Cricetulus griseus: one gene and its partners. The protein of the gene in region 5 interacts with the protein of the main gene of each other region in a pairwise test. Links are inferred from orthologs where the notes say so. Each region holds a gene or a part of one and is shown on either strand. Other genes may lie near its edges.

Region 1 (3,500 bases), on a different chromosome or scaffold from region 5:
GTAATAAACTTGGGGCTGATTATCACAGTAGTCACTGGATGTTCCCTCCTGACTCTTCTTGTCTAATTCTCTCCTCAACTCACACACCTCCTTCCAAGCACCGGTCCGATAAGTCTGCCGGACCAGACAGATAGATGCCTCTCAAGGAGGGGCCCTGACAGAAATATTCCAAATGAATATTCTACTCCTAGCAAGTGTTTTCTTGCTGCACTTCTGGATTCTTCTTTTCAGCAAGCATAAATTCCTTTCAAGATAGATTTCCTGGGTGCTGACTAATAGGCACTGTATTAGCTATTTGGGATACATGGTGGTAGTTGCCTGCCTGCCTAGGGAATGAGAAAGAATGATACAGTGTGATTATTGCTAAGAGTAGACAAAGTCCATGAGAATGCAGTAAGTAGTCATTCAACTACTCTGTCAACACAGGACAAAGACTTGGAGGGTACCGCATTAGCAAAGAGGATAAGCAGGAAGGAGGGCATTTCCAGGATCTCAGGGAGAGCTTGTGCACAAAGATTCTGGACCCACAAGAGCCCAATGGCAGGCAGGTAAGCAGGGGAAAGAGCACATGGCTCCCACCTAGACCATGAGAGGGAAGCTGGAAAGTCAAGAGAAAGTTTTGAGCAGAGGAGGCAGCTTCCTTCCTTTCTTTCTTTCGGGAGTGGGACCAGACATGGTCTCATTATGCAGGGTGCCTACCTCTGTCCCTGATGCTCAAATTAAAGCTGTGTGCTACTACACCTAGTAAATGAAGTCACTGTAGTATGTAGTTAAAAAACAAAAAAAGGAAAGAAAGATAGACTACAAGTTTTGACTTAGGCACCTAAAAGGATGGAGTTGGGAAAAGGAGAGCAGTCAAGCATGGTAGCTCAGGCTGGGACATGTTTAAATGCCCTTCATGTCAAGTGCGCTATGTGGTAAGTGGGGGATCCAAAGTGGGATGCTCTGGACAGAATTCTAATCTGAAGATGAAGGCAACTATACATGGACCAAACTGAAACAAACATCTGAGAGTGAAGGACATTGCTGAACTCAACTTTTAGGTAAGAAGGCTGAAGAAAAGAGCTTGAAGCCCAAATGGGAAACAAAAAAGGACTAGCTAGGTAGGACCGTGACGTCATAGCAGGTGGAGAGAAGACCAACTGCCCGTATGTGACTGGTAAGTCACGATGTCACAGGACAATGACTCGACTTACCAGTCTATTACCTCCCATGCAGGGACAAATGGCAGTGGTGATAGAAGGCAAACAAGAGGCTGAGGTTTTGGCTTTTTGAGACAGTCTCATATAGTTAGTATGGCCTTCAACTCCCAAGTGCCAGAATTATAGGTGTGTGCTACCCTATCCCATACACTATCAGAAGAATACTTCATCTTACATTTTTAGGACACAGTTAAAGCTAAGTTGCTGAGATGCCTGAAATCCCAGCACTTGAGGGGACTGAGGCTGGAGGACATGAATTCAAAGCAAACCAGTGATACATATGAATATCCTAGCACGCACACACACACACACACACACACACACACACACACACACACACACACACACACACACACACAGGGCATAGTGTCTGTATTTAGCTTGTATACTCTCCCATATACTTTAAAATCATTACCAGGACACAATGAAAATATATAAATAGTTACAAATACAAAGAAAATAATGAAAATAATAAATAGTTACACAGTGTTGTAATCCAGTACAAATGCACATTTTTTGCTATTTTTGATTTGCAGATAAAGGAATTAACAGATGGGTCGGGAGGATGAACTGAACGTGATAATAGAAATACTATTTCTCAGGAAAACTATTTCCCTTTGGTTCCTCTGTATGTCTGTAAAGGTCAACATCCAACTGTTCAGTGTTCCTCTTTTGCTTTTTGATTATCATTCAAACATACTACAATTCTACAGTTACCTAACCAGAGATGGCACTACATCAGGATACCAACTGTCCTGCTAGTGATTCCCATTTCTACTATTGAGCACATCTTGCTTCCCTCCCAAAACCCTTTCTAAAAACCCTTGATCACTATCATTAATCATTGTTCAAGTTCAACATTCTCCGATGAATCCTTTAAAAGAAAGAAAGAAAACTAGGGCATGAATGAAGCAAGATCAGCACAACTGATTTAACTATTAGAGCTATGTGACAGAATGGTTCAAATGCCATCTCCCAAGAAGACTGGACAAGCCTATCTCAAACTGGAACTGGTGATGGAATGCCATGGTAGAATGCTAGTCAGGCCAACCTATCATGTGAGGCCCTGGGTTCTCCTCCCATTACCACAAAAGAAATAAATTGGCCCTCACCTTACTTTATCCTTGGACCATTTGATGCCCTCATCACATCTCACTTGCGTCCCTTACTACCATCACTTAAAGTGAACTACCAGGAAAATACTGCTCAAATTCCAATCCCCAGAGCTTAGTTAGCACCGCAATACATGTTCTAACATTTGTAAAACAATCAAAGGGCAGGACAACTTTATGGATACATATTCACAATGGAGGAGCCTACACCATAATCAACATTTATTAGTCTACAACAACAGACACACACACACACACACACACACACACACACACACACACACACACACACACACACTTTCAAAACAGAGAACTTACCGGTGTGAGCTGCTGGGAGTTTAACAGCTGCTGGAATTGCTGCTGCTGGATAAACATTTGTCTCTGTTGGTCGGACAGTAATCCAAGTCCCGAGGCACTGAAAAACCATTGCAATCCTTACTTCTACTGCAGCCTTTTCAGGTGATACGAAAGGCAGTCCCTTCAGTAGGTATTTAACGAACTCAGTTTTATCAAAGACACTTCATTATGTACAAATTATTCTTTTTGCCTATACATGTGTATGCAACTAAAAAGGAATGCACTGTCAAGTTAAATAGGCACAAACTTAAGAAACACAATTTATGTGTTTGCAATAAAGCATATGTAATAATCACCTATCCCTTACTTCATCAAAATCTCTGATTAGAGAATATCAAAACTGTGCTCCTAAATCTTGCAGAACCAGTATCACATGACTGTCACAATAATGTCTTTGCAGAGTAAGATACACACATGCTGAAAGAAGGATGAAGAAAAACTAACATTTAAAAACAGATACCACAGATCGGGACTGACATTTTCTACACAGAATGTATTTTAACATTATGTTACTGAAACTGATATTGAACTGAATTTTATCAGTCTAATAAGAAAAAAAAAATACTATGAGTACCAAATACTCACTTACTCAATGAGTTTAATAAGGAAAAAAAAAAAACTATGAGTACCAAATACTCACTTACTCAATGAGTTTGGGCAGCTATTCTTCCTACAGAACGTCTACAAAATTCATTAAAAATCCTAACCCAGAACAAGGACAACACTGACATGAGGCACGGAAAATAAAACAAGAAAAACTAAACTCTACTGAAATTGTAAGTTTCTTACCTGTTAGTCAGTGCAGCGGCCGGCATTGGATGTGCTGCGT
Region 2 (4,021 bases), on a different chromosome or scaffold from region 5:
CATCTGAAAGCCCAGACCACAGGCAGTAGAGTTGATAAATACCCAGCAGCACACACAGTAAAAACTGCATTCGTTATTAATGAGAATAAATCACCAAAATGCAATGTCTGAGCGAGCTGACAGTTCGGTATCACATAAATCCTTGTATATACCACACAGTTGAGTTCTCGAAAACAATATATTCGGTTTTTAAGTCTTACTATTAGCTGAACAATGATGGGGGAGGTGAAAAATGTGTCTATAGTAAGAAAGCATACACAGTTATTTTTCTGTAAAGTTTATTTTTGCTTCACAGTGTGTTCTGATGTGTTCTCCCTTTTAAGTGTGTCTAGTCACAGATGTGTTTCTCCTCCAGTCACAGACACACAGACAACTCAGGCCAGAACACAGCCTGTCCATCATTTCAATTTCTGGGGCTAAATTCATCATTCCCTCCTTGCCTTCCTGAAGCCTGAGACTTTCAAGGCAACAAAAGGCATAGCAATAACAAGGGAAAGATAAAATCCTAAAACAGATGAAAGGCGCTAAAATTCCGTCTCCCTAGAGATCTGAGGGAAATTTGTTCACTGCTCTGTGAGGCGGGTTCGTCATTCTCTAATTCATTAATTCATTTCATTCATCCAACTAATATTTGTTGAGCATTTCCCATGAGCTATCTCAATCTGTAAAACATACCATTTCCTATGCAACGCTGGCTAACATCACTATATTTGCTCTACGCAAACTTCTGTTGTAACGTGGATACAAGTATGTCATGTGGACATACTGTTTATAAAACTGTATTGTCCATCAACTAAAACTGAGTGACATGAACAATGTTCAACCCACTCCAGCCTTCAAATCAGATACCCTAAACAGTCTGAATCTTCATGTTAAGAAACTCCTATAGATACTGTGTACGGGAATGACCAGAAGCCTACACATTATGGCCAAATGTGCATGCACAAACATACAATTCTGGAAGCTAGTTTCTGCTGTCTAAGGGATCCATCAATCCACAAATTCATTATTGTGGGATGCTTTACAGGAACTAACACATTTCCTGCAAACTCTATGGTGTAGGTATTATTAATCTTTCCATTTTTGAGCCAAGACTAATGAGCCAAGGATAGACTATTTATTCAAGGACCCTTAGAAAGTAATGAAGCTAGTGCCTGAAACAAGTTTGCAGCTCATTTTATGAAAACTGAAAATAAATTATTATTACATTTTAGCATCTCCTTTCTTCTTTAAATTGGTATGATCTGATAATCTGAACATGGCCTCTGTTCACAAAAATATAAACGTTCTCTTGTTGCAAACCACCTGTTCCTGTCTCTCCCAGGGTGCCTGCAGGAGAGCAGGAACTGGTGTGTTATTGACCAGACCTAACAGTCAAAGGGCATTTTGTTCCTGACAGGCACTGGGATAGGTATTTCATCTGCAGCCTCTCACTTAACCCACAACAGCCCCTTATATCAGCACCACTACAATAGGCTTCTCTTTACGCCGTGGAAGGAAAGGAGGCACAGAGACACTGAGGGGTAATAACTTGCCCGAGATCACACAGAAAAGAGGTGGTTTTCTTACCCTTTCCCAATCTATGATCCCTATCAGTACAAAGTTCTGGCTCCCTTCTCAATCTTCATTTCAAGTCTGGCTTGCTATGGGTGTTTCTCAGTGTTAGCGAAAGCCTGCTTCCCGAGTATGCTGGTTTGGGTTCCTCCATCTTTGATTTCTCCCCCGATAAGGTCTTGGTACATCTGCTCAGGGCAGCTCTGCTTCCAGCATTTGCCTCCTGGTGTACCGGAGACTACGCCTGACTGAGGGTGGGTGATACAATTTGGGGTAGGTAGCAGAGCTTTTCCAAGACGTCTCTTTCATCAAAGATTTTGTCTCACTCTTGCCAAAACTTCTTAAAGGAGCCAAAGCTCTCAAACGCCAACATTCCACATCTTATAAACCAGTTACTACACAAAGTTCACGGTGGCCTTTCTTTACCGTCCGGACTTGTATATTACTACCAGGGGGTTTGCATTAGTGATTGCATTAGTGAGGGTGAAATGAATTAAGGGCAGAGTAACTCGAGAAGTCAAGCTGTCCGTCTTCCTTTTCATAACCTCAAATTTTGCACAGGCTCTGTCTGTAGAGCGTCCACAAAGGGAGCTGTCCCCAGGAAAAGTGCTGTAGCTCCAGGATGCAGCCACTGAAGAACTACTCATTTACTAAGCACCTAGTGTGCACACTGACTATGATGGTATGCTTTACATGCAGGGGTTAAACAATTCCTGCATGATAGGTCCCAGAATGCCCATTTCACACATGGGGAAACAAGCTCAGATGAACACACAAGTCCATGTAAGGTCCCAGAGCTGGGCTGAGATTGGAGTCTGCATAGGTATGCCCCAGCTTCCACTGCGGGGACCAGTCTCCTCTCTGCATCACTTCTCGGATGCTGCTTAAGTTGCCTGACTACAACACTGAGCCTGGTGAAAAACCCAGCAAGAAATGTGATTGTGTTGTACAGCTGCTCCCCAAATGGCTCTGTGCTCCCCATCCCCAGCTAGGTCACACATGTCCCCATAAAAGCAGCCTTTCTTTTATCTGCCGTGTATAGCTACCTGCTGTTGCTCCATGCCTTCTTTCTTTTTCCCCCACTTCCCTTTCTCCACGTCTATGTCCCTCTCTCTCACACATGCTTGTACACATACATAGACACAGACAGACACACGACCAGATACGCACTCAGGATACCTCGATCCAGCAGCCGAAGTAAGCGGAGATACCAAAGATACCACTGGTCCCAGAAGCGGTCCGTCATCCCACCCTGAACTCATCCTTCACAGCCAGTCTCCAGGGCAGCGCCTCATCCCACCACCACCACTGACCGACCGACTCAAGGCCAGATTCGCTGATGTTGGGCTCACACGCAGCCTGTTCTAAGCAAATGCCTGCCTACAAAGACAGCCACCAGTCCTCCCACACAGAGGCTGACTGTGCCGGGAGCCCGTTTCACAGCAACAAAGGAGCAAGTGCAGAACAACGCAGCAGCAGTCGTGTGCAGACTGAGCCTTGCATGGACCCCAGGGGAGATTGAAGTTGCGGGGGAGGGAGTCAGGGAGGGCTCTTGCACAGTAGCAACGTTTGAGGTAGCCTTGGGAATAAAAATCCACAAACAAGGCCACGTTTAAAATTTCCTTCTAGTATCTCCTACCATACTGGCTTCCTGTGCCTCCCACACAGAGGCCAGCAGCTCTTCCAATAGGATGATGAATGGGAAGCCAGATGCTCAACCCTCCTGGACTCTAGAACCAGTCCAAAAAGTCCAGGAGTCTGGCTGCCTCACTATGGGCACCTCAGGTACTACCCATCTAAGACTGCTACCCCCACGACCAGAAAAGGGCTTGCTGGTCCTTTCTTCCTCCTTCCCCTCACAGATTCTATTCAGGAGATAGCAGCACGGGCTCTGAGGTGCTACATTCAAGTTCAAATTCCGGTTCCTACTTAACACTTTCTGGCCTTGAGCAAGCTACTTCAGGCCTTCCACTTCCGCTCCCTCCTCTATGAACTGGAAAGACCAGGATTTGCTTCACAGAGGAACTGTGAGGCTCAGCTCAAAGGATCACTGGCAAGTGAGGCAGACAAAAAGTTCCCTCTAATCTCCCCTGCCCTTAGAACTGTGGTTCCCTGTACCTCTCACCCTGTGACCTTATCCCATTGTTCTGATCCAGCACCTCCTGCCAGAGCCCTTTCTCTCCATGCCCCTTCTCAGGGTCAAAGCCTAAGTTTTCTAATGTCTGACTCAAATGGCACAGAATCCGGGCAGCCTTGCCCGACCGTCCCTCCTTTATATGTCGTTTGCAATCTACTTCCTCTTTTGTGTGTGACCTTTTCCCCTTACTGGACCATCAGTTACATGGTCAGCTCTGCTCCTTAATCACTTTTGGGTCCTCCAAAGTGCCTGGTACAGTGTCTTATCTCAGAAGCATTCCAGGAACTGTTGACTAACTGAATGAGCAAGGGATTCCTGGATGGCAGGAGA
Region 3 (4,272 bases), on a different chromosome or scaffold from region 5:
GATTTCTTGACATGTAAAATGGGAACACTTGTAAGATAAAGTTTTAAATGCTTTGGCTATATGAAAATAACGTAGATAAACAAATATCGTATTATTTCAAATAATTGGTAGTTGTTTTTTTTTTTTTCTGGTCTAAGAAAGATTCAATGTACTAAACCAGAATTTGAATTGTGTAAAAAATATGAATGAGAAATTTATTGGGTTAAACATCTAAGTATAGTAACAGGGTAAAAGAGGCATAGAGATGCCCACAAGTTTGTACTGGCACTAGCTGACAGACACCTAAATCAAGATGTAGGTACCCTGTTGGGTCAGGTTACCAGAAAAAGAGCTAACAGCGTTGCTTAATCCTACAACCAAAATCAAACTATTTCATCCTTAAGATCAGAGCAACATCCGTCTTCTTTCTCCGCGGCCTGGCTGGTGCTCAAGGAAAGTGTTAGGAAAACCACCCACTACTGCCCAGGGTACCTAGGAGCTAGGCACTGAGATTCGGAGCAACTCACCCCGGAGACTCCGTTGGTATTGCCCCAGACTGTCCTCCAGGGTAGAGTTCCCTGGGGATTTCGCCATGGGGTCAGAGATGGGAGTTATGCGGGAAAGTGTCCAGTGCACCCCTCCGAGGACAGGCCTAGCGCTGGGGGTTGGGGGATGCCTGCCTGCTTCCTGTCGCGGCTGTCACTAGGGAGCCAGGAACCCTGGACCGATCTCCTGGGGGCTCTTCCTACTCCCTGGCCCTCATGGTGATCTTCGGGAGTTGTAGTTCGCAGGCTGAAAGCTTGCTACTTCGAGAGTCCTATGAGCCTTCCAGCAACACTACGATTCCCAGAGGGCTATGCGCTCAGGGCGCCACTCAGGCAGTTTAGCGGCCTGAGACGGTTGCCAAGAGACGGACTGGCAGGCCGCGCCCTTTCCCTCTGCCCAGCTTGGATTAGTTCTGCTCTCCTGCCATCCTCCAGCCACCTGGATCGACCCGCTGACAGAAGGGGCCCGGTGAAGGCCCCTCCAAAATGGGTCGTTGTGGAGTTGATCTCTAAGCCCGCTCAGGGATTCACTGTAAACTCTGTATAAGTTAGGATGTCTGTCAAAATCGTTTTTCTCTAGAAAATGAAGCAGAAAATCTTCCAAACAGCCAGATTGTGAAGGCGGCGGACACTACAACTCCTAGAATGCCCAGCGCCCCGCCCTCCGCGTGGAGTTGGCGCGCTGCCCGCTGGGAATCGTAGTCCGGGTTGGTTGCGGTCCTACTCCAGCCAGGCAGCTCTTCATTGTTCCAGCAGCGGGTCTGGAGGGCACGCCTGCGCAGTGGGCGGCCGGGCGAGCGTGTGGCTGAGACCCTCCTCAAAGCCCCCTTTCATTGTCTGGGTCTGGCGCCTGCGCAGTAAGGCATCGCCCGGCCCGGGGAAAAAGGAGGGAGAGGGTCTGGCTGCTTGCCCTTTGCGAGGCGCCTGCGCACTGGGCCGCCGCTCGCTGCCGTTCCCGCTATGTGTGGGGCGTGTGTGGAATAACGTTATTGCCCGGCGGAACCGAGGGGGCCCGAGCTCCGCGGCGGCGACGACGACTACGGCGACGGGGTGGGGGGAGGACAGCGTGGCAGAGACTGACGGGACGCGCCGCGCCGCGCCCCGCCTCCCGGTCCGGTCCCTCTCGGCGGTGAGGGGTAAGTGATGCGCTCGGGTTCGGAGCGGCCCGGGATTCTGCACATCCTCGTCCGCCGCCTCCTCCTCCTCCTCGGCTGCTGCGGCCGGGGTCGGGGCGCGGCCCGCGGGCCCGAGTGCGAGGGGCGCTGCCCGGGACGCTCCGCGCGGCCGCCGCCCTCCCTCCCCTCCCTCCCCCACGGGCTGCAGCCGGACGCCCCGGGCCGGCTTCCCTTCGGCGCGCCCCGCTGCTCTTCTGCTGGCCCCGGGCTTTGTGCGGCGGCCGCCAGAGGCGTCGGCAGTCGCTGCGGGCGGAGCGTCGAGGGAAGGGGCCGCTCGGCCGCTGGGGAAACGAGCTCTCCCGGGGCGCCCGTCCCTTTTATGTAGGGTTGGTTTCGGGGTGTGAGGCTGGTGGCGCGGGGTGCGGGGAGGTCGGACGACGGGACGAGCGAGCCTTCGGGTGGCGTCGCGAGGGCGTGGAAGACGCGCTGTCAGGCAGCCTGCCCCGCGCGACTGCACCCCACGTAGCCTCCGGCCCTGGTAGCAATCCCCGCGGGAGGAGCGAGTGGCTTCCCGTGGGCTTCATTGTCCCAAGATCCAGTTGTGGGGTTTGGATCTGGTTCCCTTCCGTTTTATTCGAGGGGGTAGGGTGGGGTGGGGGGAGAAACAGCAGCTGCGTGACACGGAAGGGAAGACAAGGAAATGTGTCCTAAGTCATATGATCTCTGTTTTCTGGTCTTGAGTAGTTTCACTGTTTTTTTTCTTCGTCTTCTTTTTTTTTTTACCCCCAAATACGAAGAAGACAGGCTATACCTGCTAGAGTCCGAGCCTGCCTAGGTGATCAATATAAAACTACTAGGTGACAATGAAGGCTGGGCTAGGTAGGGCCTAACAGCGAAGCTGTTGTTTAGCAGGGAAATGAACCAGCAGAATTATTTTTTTCCACTGGGTGGGTGATGCGTTCATGTTCCTAAGGGAATACATTAGGATACGCTGAAAGCAAACAAAACAAAACAAAAAAATAGGCCGGGTATATTTCAGTTTCTGAAATTGATTGGTTTCTATTAGGTTAATGAAAATTCACCCGCCGGAGAGGATTTTGTTGATGCAGACAATACATTTGGTTGAAAAGGCATCCTTTAAAATGATTCGAATCTTAAGCGGATGGTATTTGCAGTGCTACGCCAACCTTTCTGCTTAGAACAAGCATCTGATAGGATGAAGCAGGATGAGGCGGGGCAGGTGGAGGGATATGTGAGAGTTACATTATAAATATGTACTTAGCCTTCAGAGACCTAGGAATTCAGCACTGAGAAATAGCTAGTCTTTTTGCCACAGTTTTTATTTTTATTTTTTTAAAAATAAAGTCAGGGATGCTTTTAGTTCTAACTCTTGTAAGTGCTATAAAACTTTGGTGTCCTAAAACAAGACTTAAGTGGGCTTAACAGAAACTAAGACGAAGCTCACACTGGCAAAGTCGGGCCCCCTTGTCTGCCTCCCTGAAGCAATGGAAGGCAGAGCCCAACAAAACCAAGATCTGTACTGTTGTAGTGTGATCTCTCATATGTGTGCCCTAGTCCCCTGCCCTGCACAAATACATAGAACATTTTCTACATGCTCCTTGAGTGGTCTTTTTTCTTTTTAAAACCCTATTCTCAACAGTTGTATTAGTTTACTCCTTGTATTATAAATTATTAATTATACTGAAGTGGCCTTTTGAGTTACAGATTAAAGGAAGATGCCATAACATGTGCTTTTTGTAAAAACAGACTGGCTTCCCTACTTATTAATAACCTGACATCCAATAATATTTTACAGTGTGGTCAACTCTATAACCTGTGTTAAAAATAAAATTTACACACAAGAGCTTAATGATGTTTGTTTTTCTTTAATTTGTGAGTTATATTCTCAACTTGTACTAGAACTTACCTTTTGATAATATATTTTGGGAGGCTTATTTTGCTATAAAACGGGGCTTTTATTGAAATACAATTTTTGTTCTTTCTGCTTAAATTTAATGTTATTTTTAGAATGTATTGGATTTTAGCCAATTTTTTGTTTTGTTGGTTTGGGGAGGCAGGGTTCAAGACAGGGTTTCTCTGTGTAGCCATGGCTATACATGACTGTCCTGGAACTCCCTCTGTGTATTCCAGGCTGGACTAGAACTCAGAGATCCACTTGCCTCTGCCTCTCTGAGTGCTGGTGTCACAGGCATGTGCACCACCACCCAGCTTTGTTACTTGATTTTTTTAGAGACAGGGTTTCTCTGTATAGCTCCGACTGTTTTAGAACTTGCTCTGTATATAGGCTGGCTTCAAACTCAGAGATCCACCTGCCTGTTTCCTGAGTGCTGGGATAAAAGGTATTCGACACCGTGTTGGGCTTAGATTTCAGCCAGTTTTTTAAAAAAATTCATAATTAAATTCCATATGTGAGTTTTAGTCAGTAAAAATTTAAATATATTTTACTAATAAATTTCATGGTATCCTAAGATTATTTTAGCATTAGAATAATGAAGTTAGACATCAGGTGGTTTTTAAAATTCCGTGCTTAGTAATTTGTTTCACTTACTCATTTCTTTTTATTTACGGGGGGGGGGGGGGGGGGTCAAAACTCAGTTTTACCACTGCATCTG
Region 4 (3,500 bases), on a different chromosome or scaffold from region 5:
CTCAATACACTTACTAAGGAGGGATTGGAATGTGGGTGACATTCTTGCTCACAAATAACATACTTTTTTTAAAAAAAGAAGTAATTCTAAATACCCTGTAAACTCTTAATACATCAATTTTTATTAAGCTACCTAAGAGATTATCAAATATATTACTATACTAAAATGGCCATTTTTCTCTCTGTCTTTATATAAACTTAGATCATAAGGTCATGAGATGAGCTATTTTCAAGAACACCAGCATTAGTGTCAAGTTTTACAGGACTGGAGAGTATTAATTTCATTGCTTTTTTAGTTTAGAGTTTAAAATTTTAGAAGCCATAGACTAGACATGCTAGGCATCTTTCCCACTGAATTACACCCTGATGCTAGAATATAATATTCTGATGAAAATAGGTATTTGTTATAAACATTGATAACTTTGTGTTCATTTGTTTGTTTTAATAGCTAAGAATACCTCTCAGGAAATCATGTTGAGAGAGCTCCAGGAAAAACTAAATCAGCAAGAGAACTCACTAATATTAGAGAAACTAAAACTTGCCTTAGCTGATCTGGAAGGGCAGAGAGACTGTTCACAAGACCTGTTGAAAAAAAGGGAGCATCACATTGAACAACTGAATGATAAGTTAAATAAAATAGAGAAGGAGTTTGAAGCTTTGCTGAGTGCTTTGGAGTTAAAAAAGAAAGAGTGTGAAGAGTTGGAAGAAGAGAAAACTCAGTTTTCTTGTTGGAAAAGTGAAAATGAAAAACTTATAAATCAGATAGAATCAGAAAAAGAAAGCTTACAGAGTAAAATCAACCACTTAGAAGCCAGTCTCAGGACGCAACAAATACAAAGTCATGACTACAGTGAAAGAGTAAGAACACTGGAAATGGAAAGAGAAAACCTTAATGTGGAGATTAGAAACCTCCACAGTATGATAGACAGCAAGATGGTAGAGATCGAGACACAGAAACAAGCCTACTTGGAGCTGCAGCAGAAAGCTGAGTTCTCAGATCAGAAGCATCAGAAGGAAATAGAAAATATGTGCTTGAAAGCTAATGAGCTCACTGGGCAAGTCGAAGATTTGGAATATAAGCTTCAGTTACTGTCAAGTGAAGTAGTAACCAAAGAGCAGCAGTACCAAGGCTTGCGTACTGAATATGAAACGCTGAGGGATTTGCTCAAGTCCAGAGGTTCTCTGGTGACAAATGAGGATAATCAGAGAAGTTCTTTGGCTTTTGAACAGCAGCCGACAGTGAGTGACTCCTTTGGAAATCTAATGGGGGAACAAGGAAGCATGTATTCAGAAAGGAGTGACTGCTTTGTAGATGGGGACCAAACTTCAGAAAATCTATCTGTCTTACAAAATAGAGTCACTTCACTTGAAAGTTCCCTGGAGTCTCAAAACCAGATGAACTCGGATCTTCAAAAGCAGTGTGAAGAGTTGCTACAAATCAAAGAAGAAATAGAAGAAAACCTCATTAAAGCAGAACAGATTCATCAGAATTTTGTGGATGAAACAAACCAACGCATTGGTAAATTGCAGGAAGATTCTGCAGTTCATCAAAATATTGTTGCTGAAACTTTAGCAACCCTTGAGAGTAAGGAAAAAGAGTTGCAACTTTTGAAAGAAAAATTAGAAGCTGATCAAACAGAGATTCAAGAATTAAAGAAGAGTAACTGCCTTCTTGAAGAAACTCTGAAGGAGCTACAACTTTCGTCTGAAACTTTGAGCTCAGAGAAGAAAGAAATGAGTGACATCATCTCTTTAAACAAAAAAGACATTGAAGAGTTAACCCAAGAAAATGGGGCTCTCAAAGAAGTTAATGAGGCCTTATGGCAGGAGAAAATGAATTTACTCCAAAAACATGAGGAGATTTCCAGATGTGTTGCAGAACAAGAGAGAAGCATTTCAGAGTTGTCTGATCAGTATAAGCAAGAAAGACATCTGTTGTTACAACGATGTGAAGAAACAGAAACTGTGTTGGAAGATCTCAGGGGTAACTACAAAACAGCACAAGAAAACAATGCTAGGTTAGAATGTTTGCTCAGTGAATGCACTGCTGCTTGTGAGAATAGGAAAAATGAACTGGAGCAGTTAAAGGAAGCATTTGCAAAGGAACAGCAAGAATTTTTAACAAAACTAGCTTTCAGTGAAGAGCAAAACAGGAAATTGATGCTGAAGTTGGAGATAGAGCAACAAACTGTGAAATCTAAGATTACAGACACCAAAATCTATTCTAAGAGTGAGACTGATGGTCTAAGGCAAGAGACTTTAAAGGAAGAGCAAAATAAAAAGGAAAAGGAAGTTAGCAACTTACATGAGAACGAGCAACTAATGCAGTTAACTCAGACTAAACATGAGCATTATCATCTTGAAGTAGAATCAGTTGAGAACTCTGTAAAAGCAACAGAAGATGAGATAAATATGTGTAGTTCCCAGTGTCAGATGGATATTGACACTAAAGACATTTCTCCCGACAGTTACAAAGCACAGTTGGTACAACTAGAAGCTTTGATTAAAGTTATGGAAGTAAAGCTTGATCAAAGTGAGGAGGAGAAAAAAACCCTGCATCAGGAATTACAAACAATTAGAGGGGAGCTAGAAACTGTGAGTTCACAGGACACTCAGTCACATGAAAGGATTGGCCTTAAAGACTGTGAAATAGAAGCAGAAGGAAAGTATGTGTCAGTGCTCCATGAGTTGTCAACAAGTCAAAATGAGAATGCACACTTGCAGTGCTCTCTACAGACAGCATTGAATGAACTAACTGAGCTAGGGAAAGTGTGTGAAGTACTGAAGGTTGAAAAGTTAAAACTACAGTCTGAGCTGAATGACTCTAGATCACAGTGTATTACAGCAACTAGTAAAATGGCAGCAGAGGTTGAGAAGTTAGTGAATGAAGTGAAAATCCTAAACCATGAAGGTGTTCTTCCTCAGAGCAAGCTAATGAAAGATGTGTCAGATGTGTTGCATGATAAACGAAACATGACTCCTTTGGACAGTAGCGGTTTCTGTGAACAAATAACCTTGTCAGACAAAGAAGTTCCAGTGCACTTTGCTGAGTTACAGGAAAAATTTTCCTGTTTACAAAATGAACACAAAATTTTACATGATCAGCACTGTGAGGTGAGCTCCAAGATGTCAGAGCTGTGTTCCTATGTTGACACATTACAAGCTGAAAATTCTGTCTTGTCAGTGAATCTGAGAAACTTGAAGGGTGACTTGGTAAAAGAGAGGAAGCCTGGAGCTGAGAATGGACATACTCTGTCAGTGTCGTTCTGTGGCACAGACAGCCCTAGTCTGACAAATTTTGGAGAAGCTTTGTACAAAGATGTTTTAGAACAAACTGACAACACATCTCTTCTAAGCTTAGAAGGGAATGCTTCAGCAAACCCTTGTAATGTAGATGACGTGTCTTACAGCAGTCTTGAGGAGGAAAATCTGACTGAGAAAGAAATTCCTGCTGCCTCTGTGAGGACTATTGAAGAACTTGAAATCCTATGTCAGGTGTAC
Region 5 (3,500 bases):
TCTCATATTTTAAATATTACTAAATTTCATGTAGTGTATGTATATGCTCTTGCTACATCACATGTGTGAAAATCAGAAAACAATGTGAAGAAAAAGGTTCTCTTCTTCTACCATGTGGGACCCAGGAATCAAACTCAGGTTGTCAGGCTTAGTGACAAGTGCCTTTCCCCACCAAGCCATTTGTCTGGCCCTACATTTCTCATCTAATAAAAGTCAGTACACTAGTCAGTACTGCACCCAGGGAAGTAGGTTCTGCCACAGTTACCTTTAATGCCTCCACTTCATATTTCAGTCTTTGGTTATCAGCTTGCAGGTCTCTATTTCTTTGTTCAGCCTGTACTAACTGTGCCTCCAACTCTGCTTCTAATTCTCTGCTTCCTTCCTGGAATTCAACTAGCTCATCCCGAGCTTCCTGGAAGCTAAGCAGAAGCAAAATGAGAAAGATGAGTTAATAGTTGTGTACTCTCATATAATTACGTATCAATTCCATAATTTCTGACTAAAAATTAATGTTCTCATAAAATATTAAACAGTAAAGAAAATGCATTTCTTGCTCCACATATATTCAGCATTCAATAAAAAGTAGTTATATGCCCTCCCCACAAAAAATCCTACATAACTCAGTAATTCACAAACGTAGTTCTATGTGGCTCAAAACCACCATAAAACTGCAAGAGGAGGGGTGTGTATTTGTACTGAAGTAACTTCAACTGGGAATTAAGTTTGAATTCTAATTGCTAGAAATCAACACATACTCTCAAATCACAATGGCTGGTACAGATCTAAGCATCACTCGCTCATCACTAATTCAGAACCAGGAAGTTTTCTATGCTTCTCCATCTTTTTTACCTAATGTATGCACTAATACATTATTCTAATACTACAAACTAACTTAATATTTAGTTAATTTTTTCAATAACTGGTTTTCTCTATAATGCCATTACTTAATTTTCTGCATTTAAATGTATTCTAAGAAGGGGTTCACAGGCTCCCCTGCCTCTGAAGGAATCTGTAATGTTAGAACAAAGGAAGAACCTCTGTGGATACAGAGCATCTTCATCCCTTGGCCTGATACAACTACAAGGAAAGAACAATGGGATCTGATAAAGCTTAGCTAACTCTGTCAACCAAAGGAGGAAAATGTGCAAGTGTTCTAGTAAGATTTCAAAGGTAGACAGAAGGCTCAGTGGTTGAAAGCACTGGCTGCTCTTTCAGAGGACCAGAGTTCAATTCCCAACATCTACATGGCAGCTCACAACTATCTTTAACTTCAGTCCCAGGAGATTATAACGCCCTCTTCTAGTCTGTATGGTCACCAGACATGCACATGGTGCACAGACATACATGCATACACATACACATAAAATAAAAACAAATCTCAAATAAATATAAGATTTATTAAATAATAGGAATTTAGGATAAGTTTTAAGGCCAAAGAGCTATTTTCTTCCCAACTAAGTAAAATATTATTTTATAAAAGCAATTTTATAAAATGTTCCATAGCTTGGAAGCTCAGCTGCCTCCCAACACTAATAATGCATGCCCGAAAAGATAAAAGTCTGTTTTAAGCATCTCAAATGAGCCAATGATGAGGGAGCACCAGTACTCACACAGAAGGTCAAAAACAGCCCCAGACTAGTGACAAGGCACAGGAGGCAAGCAATCAGAAGAAATCATAGGTGGAACTAAAGCTTCCTGCTATTACAATTTGAAGAACATAAAGACTGGTGGTAGCTTTATACTATTTAAATACAAATATTGTTATGACTATGAAATCAAAATCCTAAAGCTGAAACTCTAAATTTAGCCTTATACTCCCAAAAGAAAAAAATATGCAAGCTATACATGGCATATTCCAAATCCGACCCCTATTTTAATAGTTTTTAAACACTACCTTTGCTTATACTTCAAGGAAAGTTCCTTCCAATAAGCAGTTTCTTCCTTTAAACTTGAAAAGTCTGGTATATCTTCACCATCCATGATCAAGAAAGCCTGTGGCAGTAAAGACAAAGAACCCAAAATATAAGTGAAAGCATGGCACTCATTTGGTAGTTTCAAAGGTTCTAGGAGTTGCTGGAACTTTCCTAAAACTTAAGCACACATCCTACCTCACTCAGGGACAACCAACATTATGGATGAGGTTATAACAGCATATGACATCAACAGGGTCAGAAGGAATGAGGCATTTTCAAATACAGCACTGGGTTCTACGTAATTCAGCAGTTTATGGCCAACTGGTCTTCAGGGAATCCAATGACAGAAACAAACAACTGTCAGAGAATTTGCCACTCCACATGCTTCCCTGATGTGTAACAGCTTTAAAACACCTGCAACAGGTCTGGGGTGTAGATCAGCTGTTTAAGTGTTTGCCTAGGTTTGACCTCTAGCAACACCTGAAATCTCAGCACTGAGAATTGGAGGCAGGTCATTCTCAGCAACACAGAAAGATCAGGGTCAGCCTGGGTTACATGAGACCCTGTCTCAAAAAGAAGTGGGGAGAAAGGGGGAAGGGGGAAAGGGAGACAGAGGGAGAGAAGGAAGGAAGCAAGCTGCTTAGAACCCTCATGCCAAGTGAAACAACTTACTACATCAGGCAAGACCCACATTCTCAAATCATTTTTTTTTTTGGGGGGGGGGGTCAAGACAGGGTTTCTCTGTGGCTTTGGAGGCTGTCCTGGAACTAGCTCTTGTAGACCAGGCTGGTCTCGAACTCACAGAGATCCACCTGCCTCTGCCTCCTTAGTGTCAAATCTTATTTTTGAAAACATCCTCAGTCATCCTTCAATCCAACTTTACTCCAAAGGTCACTCATCTCCAACTGCAATAATCTTTGTCTCAGTTCTTCCCCACAAGGTATTCACAGAGGAAGGGACCTAGTTAGTTGCTCTTGCCATTTCAACTGGCTAAAACTCCCAAATGATCATAGAACAGATTAACACCACCAAGATGTTCCAGATTCCTGCCACATCTTTCCTACAGTCTCCTCTTTACTTCTGCCCCAGCACCACATCCACACAGCAGATACACAGTAATGTCTACCTAAATAGATTTCAATGTGTGCCAGCAAGTAAGGACTGAAGAACAATCTAAAACCAACTAAGAAAGCCTTGGAAATGCAGAGAACTCAGAGTTCATCTTAACAATTCACTTATGTTTACCAAGAACTCAGCCAGAGACCACAGCACATACAGAGCTCCAGATCCAAATGTGTACACAAGTGAGGCATGAGCGTGATGTCTAGTGGGGATAGAACTAAAAATAACATGATATTCTCAGCTTAATTCTTTTGAGGCACAGTGCCAATTTTTCCTTAACCAAGTCTTTGCTGATCATACTATCTATTATTATCTTGACATCTAATTAGTAAATCTTCCAGTTATCTTAAACTCCCAATCACCCTGAAAGCTCTTTCTAAAAGACAGATTCTTGACACACCTTGTATTCCTTCATGGCACTGAGTACAACAGATTTCTCAGAGAAGGCACCTAATGCTCCAATCA
Region 6 (4,139 bases), on a different chromosome or scaffold from region 5:
AATCTTAGAATGATTCAAAGGTTCTCTACCTCGGGAAAATTTCTGCGCTTACAGTCACAGTTGGCTTCATCCCTTCTGAAGACTAACAGCAGTCACATAAGCAAATCTGTCTTGTATCATACTGGCCATTCCATCACTCAGGCATTTGCTAGGTCAAGGCCAGCATGGGTTTCGTGGGGAGTTAGGGTCAGCCTGTCCTATACCAGATGTGCTCACAAGAAACTTATGTATTTAGACTACAAAACTGTTGTGTTCTAAGGGGACCAGCTCAACAGCTGTCTTAATGATTTTTGATATGATAATATGTCATTTGATTTATTTTTAACTTTATTTGATATTTTATATCATTCATATAATATAGTGTAAGACTCTGAACTTTACACCATGCTAACCTCCTCACTGCTACACAGTGGCTTGTTTCCCAGTCTGCAAAATCTGAAGCACAAAAAGCCAAACAGAGCTTGTGCCCATCAATCATCTGCTCTGGGACACGGGAAGAGTATACATCTTCCCTGCCCACAGTCCACTTGCTTAAGAAAGAGTTAACAATTAGAAGAACAAGTGAGACCATTTTCATTTATCACTTACAAAGACCACACATTATCTCTGGATACCTAAGCACCATTTTCAACATTGAGACAGTTATTGCTAGCAGCCATGTTAATGACACAGAGAAAATACTAAAATAGAGCATGGGAAAGAGGCAAGTGAGTGGGGAGACACTCAACAGTTCCTTTGAGTATTTTCTGGAAACCAAAGTGAAATAATTCACACACACACACTCTTTATACACACTCATGCAACGACCAAGGTAAAAGCATTTAAAATTTAAAGCTACATAGTTATGTTGAGGTAGGTTTTGAACTTGGCAGGCTTTCTAACTCAAAGGACTATACTTTTATTTTGACAGACAGAATTTATTTATATCAAAATATAGATCCTAGTTAATAGAGCTTTGTTAACACAGGAAACAGAGCTGAGTGTTGGTGTCGCACACCTTTAATCCCAGCACTCAGGAGGTAGAGGCAGGTGGATCTCTGTGAGTTTGAAACCAGCCTGGTCTACAAGAGCTAGTTCCAGGACAGCCTCCAAAGCCTCAGAGAAACCCTATCTCGGGGGGGGGGGGTGGTGGGGGCACAGGAAACAGAATTGAAATTGCACAATTTCCTTTATGAAAAAAATTGACTGAAATGCCTCCATTTCATTAAGTAGCAAGTAGCAACACTATGACAGTCATATTCCAAGTAGAGTTGCCTTCCTTCCACTTTCTTCTCAGGTCAGAATAACATAAATAATACAGCTAAGAAAAATGAGTATCACAGACTTACATCTCCATCACAACAAGTTTAAAATCAATCAAAGCAAACATTTAACAGTAATTATAAATTCAAAGGTGCCCCCACTCAAGATATGGAGTAAAAATAATTGATCAAATAATAAGGAAAATTAATTTACATCATTTTTGCACGTGGAAAGTCTGCATACCTTTGGCAGCACTTGCGTCATATCCATAGGATGTTTTGTTAAAAACATGGTGATCCCCCGATGAAGGGATTACCCTTGAATCCGAAACAGGGTGGACCCCTTTAATTCGTTCAGCCAGCGCCTTGTGCTGGTCATAGGAGCCCAGTGTCCTGGGCGAGCTGGTCCTTGGCATTGGTTCAGAAGCAGGTTTCTCTTCTGTTTGATGACCAGCTGGAAGGTGGGTCTCTGGGTCACTCACATTCCTAACAAGGGGCCCAGTGCTTTGCATCAAAGCTGCCCCCTGGTTTGCAGCAGAGGTCTCTGGTAAAGAATGCAATTCGTTGCCATACCGGCCATCTAACCTGTACCTCCCAGGAGACATCATCATACAGGGCACAGTCCCCACAAATTCCATTGCTGTCTTTGTGACAGCTGTGAGACCAGGGGTGGGCTGAGAGGTAGCATCATTGTGACCAAAGTTGTCGCAGTGCGATGCCATGCTTCCACTTTTAGGAAAGGCATCTGCTTCAGACAAAGAGTCTTCAGTCAAGGCCAAGAATTCTGAAGGGGTCTGAGCTGTGGTCAGGTCTGTGGAAAGCATAGGGGACTGTAAGGAACTTCCTGCGTGCTCTGTTCCATCTGCGGAGCAAGAAGGGGAAGGTCTTCCTAAGGCCGGTTCTCGCTCCTGGTACTGTGAGATCGCCAGGGAGAACTCAGGCTGCTGTACCAATGACTTGGATTGGCTCTGTGGAACCGACTTAGAAAATTTGGAATGAGATGAAAAGGATTTGGGGAGAAGCTTCTTTGTTGACTGTTTAAGAGAACGGCGAGTTTGTTCTTCTGTGAATCCAGAATCGTCCCCTTCACTTCTGCCAGAACTTAGACAATTTATAAAGACGTTCTTATTGGTGGAAGGTTCCTTTTCCCTTTCAAAATCTTCCGTCAGAGATCTTGTTATCTTCTTGCTTCGCGAACTACTAAAACCCACAGAATGTCTTCCCCTGGTTTTGACTTGTTCCTCCAAACTTAGTTTCTGCATATTGCTGTGACTGGGTTGAGCACCATTGGAAATACTAAGGTTCTGGTCGGTGGGTTCTGGCTTAGGTTCACTCCCCTTCTTGTGGTGGAAGCTGATGGAGGGAGCTCGGAATATGCTCCTGCGTTTCCCCATGCTCCCTGAGCTGGAGTTAGTGCTGGAAGGAGAGGAGCTGTGGACACCAGCTGTGTTACTCGAAGAGGGTGAAGACGGGAGAGAGTCATGTCTTCTGCTAATACTTTTCCTGAATATTGGCAACCGGGAGACCAGGGTACATCGTCTTGATCCTGAGTCCCCCATTGGAACCCTGAGGCTTACACTGCGATAGCCAATTTAGCAGCCTGGGAAAAGATAAAACAAAGAAAGCAAGTCAATAAAATTCAATCTTGACCAGGACCCAGTAAACAGAGTAGTTTTTCAAGACAAAGAATGAAAATTTGTTTTTACTACAATAATAGTATGCCAAAATCGGGATTTAAGAAAATAGAAAAAAAAATCATCCACAAACTTGTATCAAAATCTTACTATAAATCAAAAATTTCAAGATTACCACAAATACTTAGTCTATTAAAAAGAATTCTGGGTTGGAAAACACAAAATAATAATAATTATTTAAGACCTGGCCAGTCTTCTGTTAAATTCTGGTACATTATTAAATATTAACTTTTTATATTTAGACACAGCCATGCTTCATAGCATGTGGCTTAATGGGTAATCTAGGCACCTTAACAGAAACACAGAGCAGACAGTGGCAAGCCAGGCACTAATATCTGCACTCATGAAAAACCAATTGGAGCATATTCTTATGGATGGTTTCTGACACAGGAAGCTTAGGGATAATCAGACTACTGACTAAAGATATATAGAGAGTTACACATGAAGGAAGTAGACCATGGGCTAACGGAAAGACCTGATGCAAAGCTCAGAGTGTTGGTAATCTCGAGAGTACCATCGAGTCATTCCGAAACCCAGGACCCTTATAGCCATATTTATGTTGGTGCACCTGGGTGCCAGTGGTGAAGAAGATAGAGGAGGGAATGGAAAGGTGGCTGCTACAATCCTTTTTGATGCACAAAGGATTTCTTGGAGATGATCTCTTTTCGTTAAAACTCTGCAAGTAGGTATTTTATGGCACGAAGAAAGGTAACAATAATGTCACCAGCTAATGAAGCAAACGAGAATAAGAACCAAGCTTTCTCTACCCCAAGGCTAGCTTATGGTCCTTACTGCATACAAAATATTCGGCATTCTCTGGAGTGAAAGCAAAGAGCTGCTGGCATGCACCCACTGCCGAGATTGTTAGTCTTATTTCAACTTATACATTCAGACTTCCTGTTCTGGAATTGCTGTTTAACACAGACTTTCATGAGATAGCACAGTTGCCTCCTGTTTTGGTTTGATAAAAGATCTCACTAATTATTATATTTCTGATTGCCTTGTCTTGTAGTGCTGGGCTGGAACCCTGATGAGCTTAATATATACACGTAAGCATTCTTTCTCCATCTGCTCTTGATGGCAGCATGGCTAAGAGTAGCTCCTTCAAGTTCCTACTTTGACTTCCCAATAATGATGAATTTGTGCACTAAAAGTAAACCCGTTTTCCACTAAGTTGTTTCTTTCTTCATTCCTGCCTTCCTTC
Region 7 (4,086 bases), about 36 Mb from region 5:
GCCATATTGCAGAGATAGGGAAAGATTACCCACAGCAGGAGTAATAAAAAGTCACACTTGTTATTTCCAAAAAAGCCCCGTAGTGGGGAGTTCAGGAAACAATAAAACATATTACAGTTTTACAGTGTTTTGATCACTTGTGATGGGAGAAGCTGAGGCTTCTTCGTGCTGTCTTAACCCTGCCCCAAGCAACTCTTCCAAAACTGTTTGGGAAATCGGGGGTAGGTGTGGGCTGCCTTTCAAAATCCAGACTCTCAGTCCAGTGCTCTGTGCTGCCATCTGACCTGTTGCGTAATACTAAGTAACTGGATTGTCTTCTTGAAATTTCCATTTTGTTCTTTGCTACCGGCCAGCACCCCAGCTGGTGGGAATGATGTCGGTCTTCTAAGACATCCAGTGGACCTTTTTTTGTCCCAGGTCTCTGGATTCGGGACTCCAATTAACTCAAGTGTTGCACACTTTGTGCCAAGGACACCGAAACAGGAGTCACACACATGCTGAAACATGACGATCAAGAATTGTCTGCACTGCTCCCAAACAACAGGAGCCCTCCCCTCCCCCAACCTCTGCGCGGGTGGCGGAGTTCTGGGCTCCTCCTCTTCCCTACCAGACTAGGGGAGGGGGTCCTCTTTGGAAAGAAAATAGCTGGGGTTAGCGGCTAAATACAGGCAGAAGAGGCAGGATGGAGAGGGTGCTGGCGGCCCAGGTCTGGCCACTTGAGTCAGTCGCGCGTCCCGGTCCTCGGCTGGCCAGGCCTCGCAGCAGCCCAGGTCTCGCCACGCGGTGAAGTTCTGCGGAAAGTTTTGCAGTTGCTTTGCTGCCCGCGCCAGCAGGAGAAGCTGTGACGCAGCGTCTGGGGCTCCAGGCCCCGGCTGAAAAGAGAGGGAAGACGAGGCGGGAAAGAATTAAGGAGCAGAGTGGAGGAAGATAAAAGAGCGCACGCTGGGGACGGTCCTTGTGGACCGCGCTGATCCTCCTCTCCTGCCATCCCCTTCTCTCCCTCCTGAAGCGCGGCCCCTGCGGCCGGGTCCCCAGCCCCGCGTCCCCGCAACTCCTCCTTCCCCTCCCACGCTGCCCACTTCCCTTCCCCTCTACCCCTCAAACCCTCCTCCTGGGTTCGGCGCTCCTCCCTCCGCCCTCCCTCCTCGGGGCCTGCCTCCTCCCTCCTCCTCTCCGGGAGGCATCACATCGTCCCGACCCCTCGCCGGCGGTCATCCGAGCCCAGCATCAGTGCGCCACTGCGCGCAGCCCGGCCGTGCGCCCCCGGTCCTCCGAGCGCCGCAGAGATGGGGCCCATCCGACCTGCCCTCGAGCCCTGGCCTCGTCACCTGCTGCGCTGCTTCTTGATTCTCGGGGGACTGCATCTCGGCCACCCGGGGGACGCCGCCGCCGTCCCCGCCGCCCTCCCGGGTAAGGCGCTGCCAACTTGGCCAACTTCGGGGGCGGGCCCGAGGGGAAGTGGGGCCTCTTGATTTTATCCTCTTTTTTTTTTTTTTTTTGACTCCCTTATTTTCTGGAGGTAGGTGTAAGTGTGTGTGTGTGTGTGTGTGTGCGTGCGTGCGAGTGTGCGTGTGTGTGCGTGTGTGTGTGCGCGAGTGTGCGTGTGTGTGCGTGTGTGTGTGCGCGAGTGTGCGGGCGTGTGTGTGTGTGTGTGTGTGTGTGTGTGTGTGTGTGTGTGTGTGTGTGTGTGTGTGTGTGTGTGTGTGTCTGGGTTTTTAAAAATCGCCTCCGCTTTTCTGGGAGCGAGGGAGGAGATGGGAGGAGGAGCGCGCCTGGAGGTGGGGGAGGACCTGAGTGGAACCAGATGTGGCAGGCGGCGGGGGAGGGGATCCTGGGCACTGAGGCCTGGGAGGGAGAGGGAGGGAGATGGAGGGCTGGCGACGACTCGCGTCCGGGCGACCCCCGGCGCCCGCCCCGAGCTGGTCCGGTTTGGTGGGTGGGATGCACCCGGAGAGCCAGAGGCGCGTTGTTTCACACTCCGTACGTGAGGGTCAGGCGCCTGTGCAGCGTCTGGCAGGGTCTTTATATTTTCTTTCTTGGTCTTCAAGGACGGCTTGTGGCATACAACTTCTGTAGTGTTCGAATGGAATCCTGTGGTACAGTTTTATGTCAGAGGGCCGAGTGTGTGTGCATCTCTGTGTGTGCGCCTGTGTGTGTGTGTTCGTGCTCTCACTTTGTGTGAGCAATTCTAACTAAACTGGCACTTCTCCAGAGTGGACAATCTTAAGCTGCAAAAGAGTTTCTAAAGATGCAAAACCACAGCCCACAAAAAACCAATCATACAAGCCCCCCTTCTCTTTTCTGCTGATTCTTCCTCCTCCTCCTCCTCCTCATCCTCCTCCTCCTCCTCTTCTTCTCCTCCTCCTTCTCCTTCTTTTTCTTCTTCTTTTTCCAAGAAGAGACTGAAATGTGAGGTCAGACAGGTCTCTCACCAAGACACCGAATATTGGTGGGGTAGATATTCCTCCCTGAGAGGATTTTCAGAAGTAAAAAATAAAGCGCTGGGTGCTGCCTCCACAAACCCCTTTTATGTTTCACTGGGGGCTGGGGTGAGTGGAAAGGGATGGGACTGCAGCTTTGTGCTGGGGGGCGGGGGGCTGGAGAGTCTGAGGCCTTTCACAGTGGCCTGGTGTGCTGTGGGCATCTACTAAAAGGAAAGGAAGGGTTGGGGTGACCCAAGTCACATAAGGACCTGAAGCTTAGACAGACAGGAAGCAGACTCGGAGGCCTGTCCCTTACTCCTGGTCTTCTCCACCTTAAAGAACAGGGCACTGCTGGATTCGAGGGAGGGAAAGGATGGCCATTCCAAGAGCCCTAGCCTGGGTTTTAAAGCCAGGCCCTGGGAAAGAGCTGGGCCAGACGGCTGACTAGGTCTTTTCCTCCAGAGAGCTTTTGACAGGGGGGTGGAGGTGCCTGATGAGGGGCCCAGTTAGGGAGGAAAAGGAGGCCTACAGTGTCCCCGTGCCTCCTGATCTTTGCTTCTGTCTCTTCCTGCGCTCACTCTCAGGTTGTCTGTCCTACACATGAAATACCCATAGCCTGGGTGGTTGCATTGTCTGGATTACCCATGCCAGGCCTGGGCTAAGGCAGCTGGGGTGAGGAGCCTCCACTGAAGCAACTGAACAGGAGGGCAGCATCACACAACTCCCCTCTCAGTGCACACAAGTGTCAGGTGAATCCTGGAAGTTGGCAGGTGGGGGCAGGAGCACCCAACTTCCATATGGGAGGCTGGTGCAGGCCCTATGGGCTCTTGCCGCTGTGAGCCTGATATGAGAGGCGGCCACTGGCTAGGGAAACCGTGGCCCCAGGAAATGCTTGTGGGAAGTAGGTAGGATTTGCCTGGCAGGCTATTGCTGGGGTGAAAGGCCCCCTGGGGGAGGGGCTGCGGCTTTGTAGCTGCCTGATCACCAGCAGGAAGTCCAGTGGGCTCAGGACTGCAGAGATACTGCAGCTCTCTTGGAGGTCAGAGGTGACAGGGCTGTAGGAGTTCTGGACATAGGATGGCAGAATTCATCTTTACTTCCTCAGGTAAAGCGTGTTGTTACTGCAATACTGGTCCATTCTCCATGTATGCAGCACCAAGCCACATGCTTTACAAGAGTTAAAAGGTGTCCTTAGAGAAAAGGAAGGAAATCTTCCAGAATGACACAGGTTGAACCGTTAGTGTTAGGTGAAGGCTCAGTTGGTGAGGGCCCTCTCTCAGCCTGGAAGCCCTGTTAAGTCCAGTTTCTCCTTTAGCTCTGATGATAACCCAAAGAGCTAGGTATCATTGGACCCATTTTGCAGAGTGCAAAATGGAGTCTTAAGGGGAGTCTGATGATTTATTTTGGGCACATCTAGTAACTGAAAGGCTAGGACCAGGGATGCTTGATGACTACAGACAGAGGAGAGAGTGGTCCAAGGAGGAAAGGCTGTCTGGGGAGAGTGGGGAGGCCAGAAGGGAGAGAGAGCAGGCCACGAAGGAGACGGCTGCTGCTGAATTATGGGGAGGCTTCCTGGGTTCCTGAAGGAAAGGTTGATGGAAACTGGCCAGGTGCCTGGAAGGCTCCACTTGCAGCTGCCTGAAGTGCTGATGCTTTCTTACTA

Evidence for each region.
Region 1: the proteins of Ndel1 (region 5) and Mllt10 interact in a two-hybrid assay, tested with the Homo sapiens proteins (2 studies listed by BioGRID and IntAct). The link is inferred for Cricetulus griseus from reciprocal best matches to the Homo sapiens genes NDEL1 and MLLT10.
Region 2: the proteins of Ndel1 (region 5) and kalirin interact in a two-hybrid assay, tested with the Homo sapiens proteins (2 studies listed by BioGRID and IntAct). The link is inferred for Cricetulus griseus from reciprocal best matches to the Homo sapiens genes NDEL1 and KALRN.
Region 3: the proteins of Ndel1 (region 5) and Cep170 interact in a two-hybrid assay, tested with the Homo sapiens proteins (2 studies listed by BioGRID and IntAct). The link is inferred for Cricetulus griseus from reciprocal best matches to the Homo sapiens genes NDEL1 and CEP170.
Region 4: the proteins of Ndel1 (region 5) and Cenpf interact in binary tests that used the Homo sapiens proteins (3 or more experiments, as listed by UniProt). The link is inferred for Cricetulus griseus from reciprocal best matches to the Homo sapiens genes NDEL1 and CENPF.
Region 6: the proteins of Ndel1 (region 5) and Ccser1 interact in binary tests that used the Homo sapiens proteins (3 or more experiments, as listed by UniProt). The link is inferred for Cricetulus griseus from reciprocal best matches to the Homo sapiens genes NDEL1 and CCSER1.
Region 7: the proteins of Ndel1 (region 5) and Mrc2 interact in a two-hybrid assay, tested with the Homo sapiens proteins (2 studies listed by BioGRID and IntAct). The link is inferred for Cricetulus griseus from reciprocal best matches to the Homo sapiens genes NDEL1 and MRC2.

Annotation. Positions count from the first base shown.
Region 1 is NC_048596.1:215,139,754-215,143,253, forward strand, and holds part of Mllt10 (protein AF-10), read right to left. Parts: coding exon 3,461-3,500; intron 2,730-3,460; coding exon 2,633-2,729; intron 1-2,632. UniProt on the Homo sapiens protein: Probably involved in transcriptional regulation. In vitro or as fusion protein with KMT2A/MLL1 has transactivation activity. Binds to cruciform DNA.
Region 2 is NC_048597.1:55,085,662-55,089,682, reverse strand, and holds the start of kalirin, read right to left. Parts: upstream 2,801-4,021; coding exon 2,734-2,800; intron 1-2,733. UniProt on the Homo sapiens protein: Promotes the exchange of GDP by GTP. Activates specific Rho GTPase family members, thereby inducing various signaling mechanisms that regulate neuronal shape, growth, and plasticity, through their effects on the actin cytoskeleton.
Region 3 is NC_048598.1:16,976,103-16,980,374, forward strand, and holds the start of Cep170 (centrosomal protein of 170 kDa), read left to right. Parts: upstream 1-1,472; 5' UTR 1,473-1,660; intron 1,661-4,272. Other genes in the region: serologically defined colon cancer antigen 8, read right to left, coding at 507-573.
Region 4 is NC_048598.1:5,316,868-5,320,367, forward strand, and holds part of Cenpf (centromere protein F), read left to right. Parts: intron 1-447; coding exon 448-3,500. UniProt on the Homo sapiens protein: Required for kinetochore function and chromosome segregation in mitosis. Required for kinetochore localization of dynein, LIS1, NDE1 and NDEL1.
Region 5 is NC_048600.1:82,734,308-82,737,807, forward strand, and holds part of Ndel1 (nuclear distribution protein nudE-like 1), read right to left. Parts: intron 1,993-3,500; 5' UTR 1,981-1,992; coding exon 1,895-1,980; intron 420-1,894; coding exon 266-419; intron 1-265. UniProt on the Homo sapiens protein: Required for organization of the cellular microtubule array and microtubule anchoring at the centrosome. May regulate microtubule organization at least in part by targeting the microtubule severing protein KATNA1 to the centrosome.
Region 6 is NC_048601.1:81,425,152-81,429,290, forward strand, and holds the start of Ccser1 (serine-rich coiled-coil domain-containing protein 1), read right to left. Parts: upstream 2,801-4,139; coding exon 1,486-2,800; intron 1-1,485.
Region 7 is NC_048600.1:118,268,829-118,272,914, forward strand, and holds the start of Mrc2 (C-type mannose receptor 2), read left to right. Parts: upstream 1-1,286; coding exon 1,287-1,410; intron 1,411-4,086. UniProt on the Homo sapiens protein: May play a role as endocytotic lectin receptor displaying calcium-dependent lectin activity. Internalizes glycosylated ligands from the extracellular space for release in an endosomal compartment via clathrin-mediated endocytosis.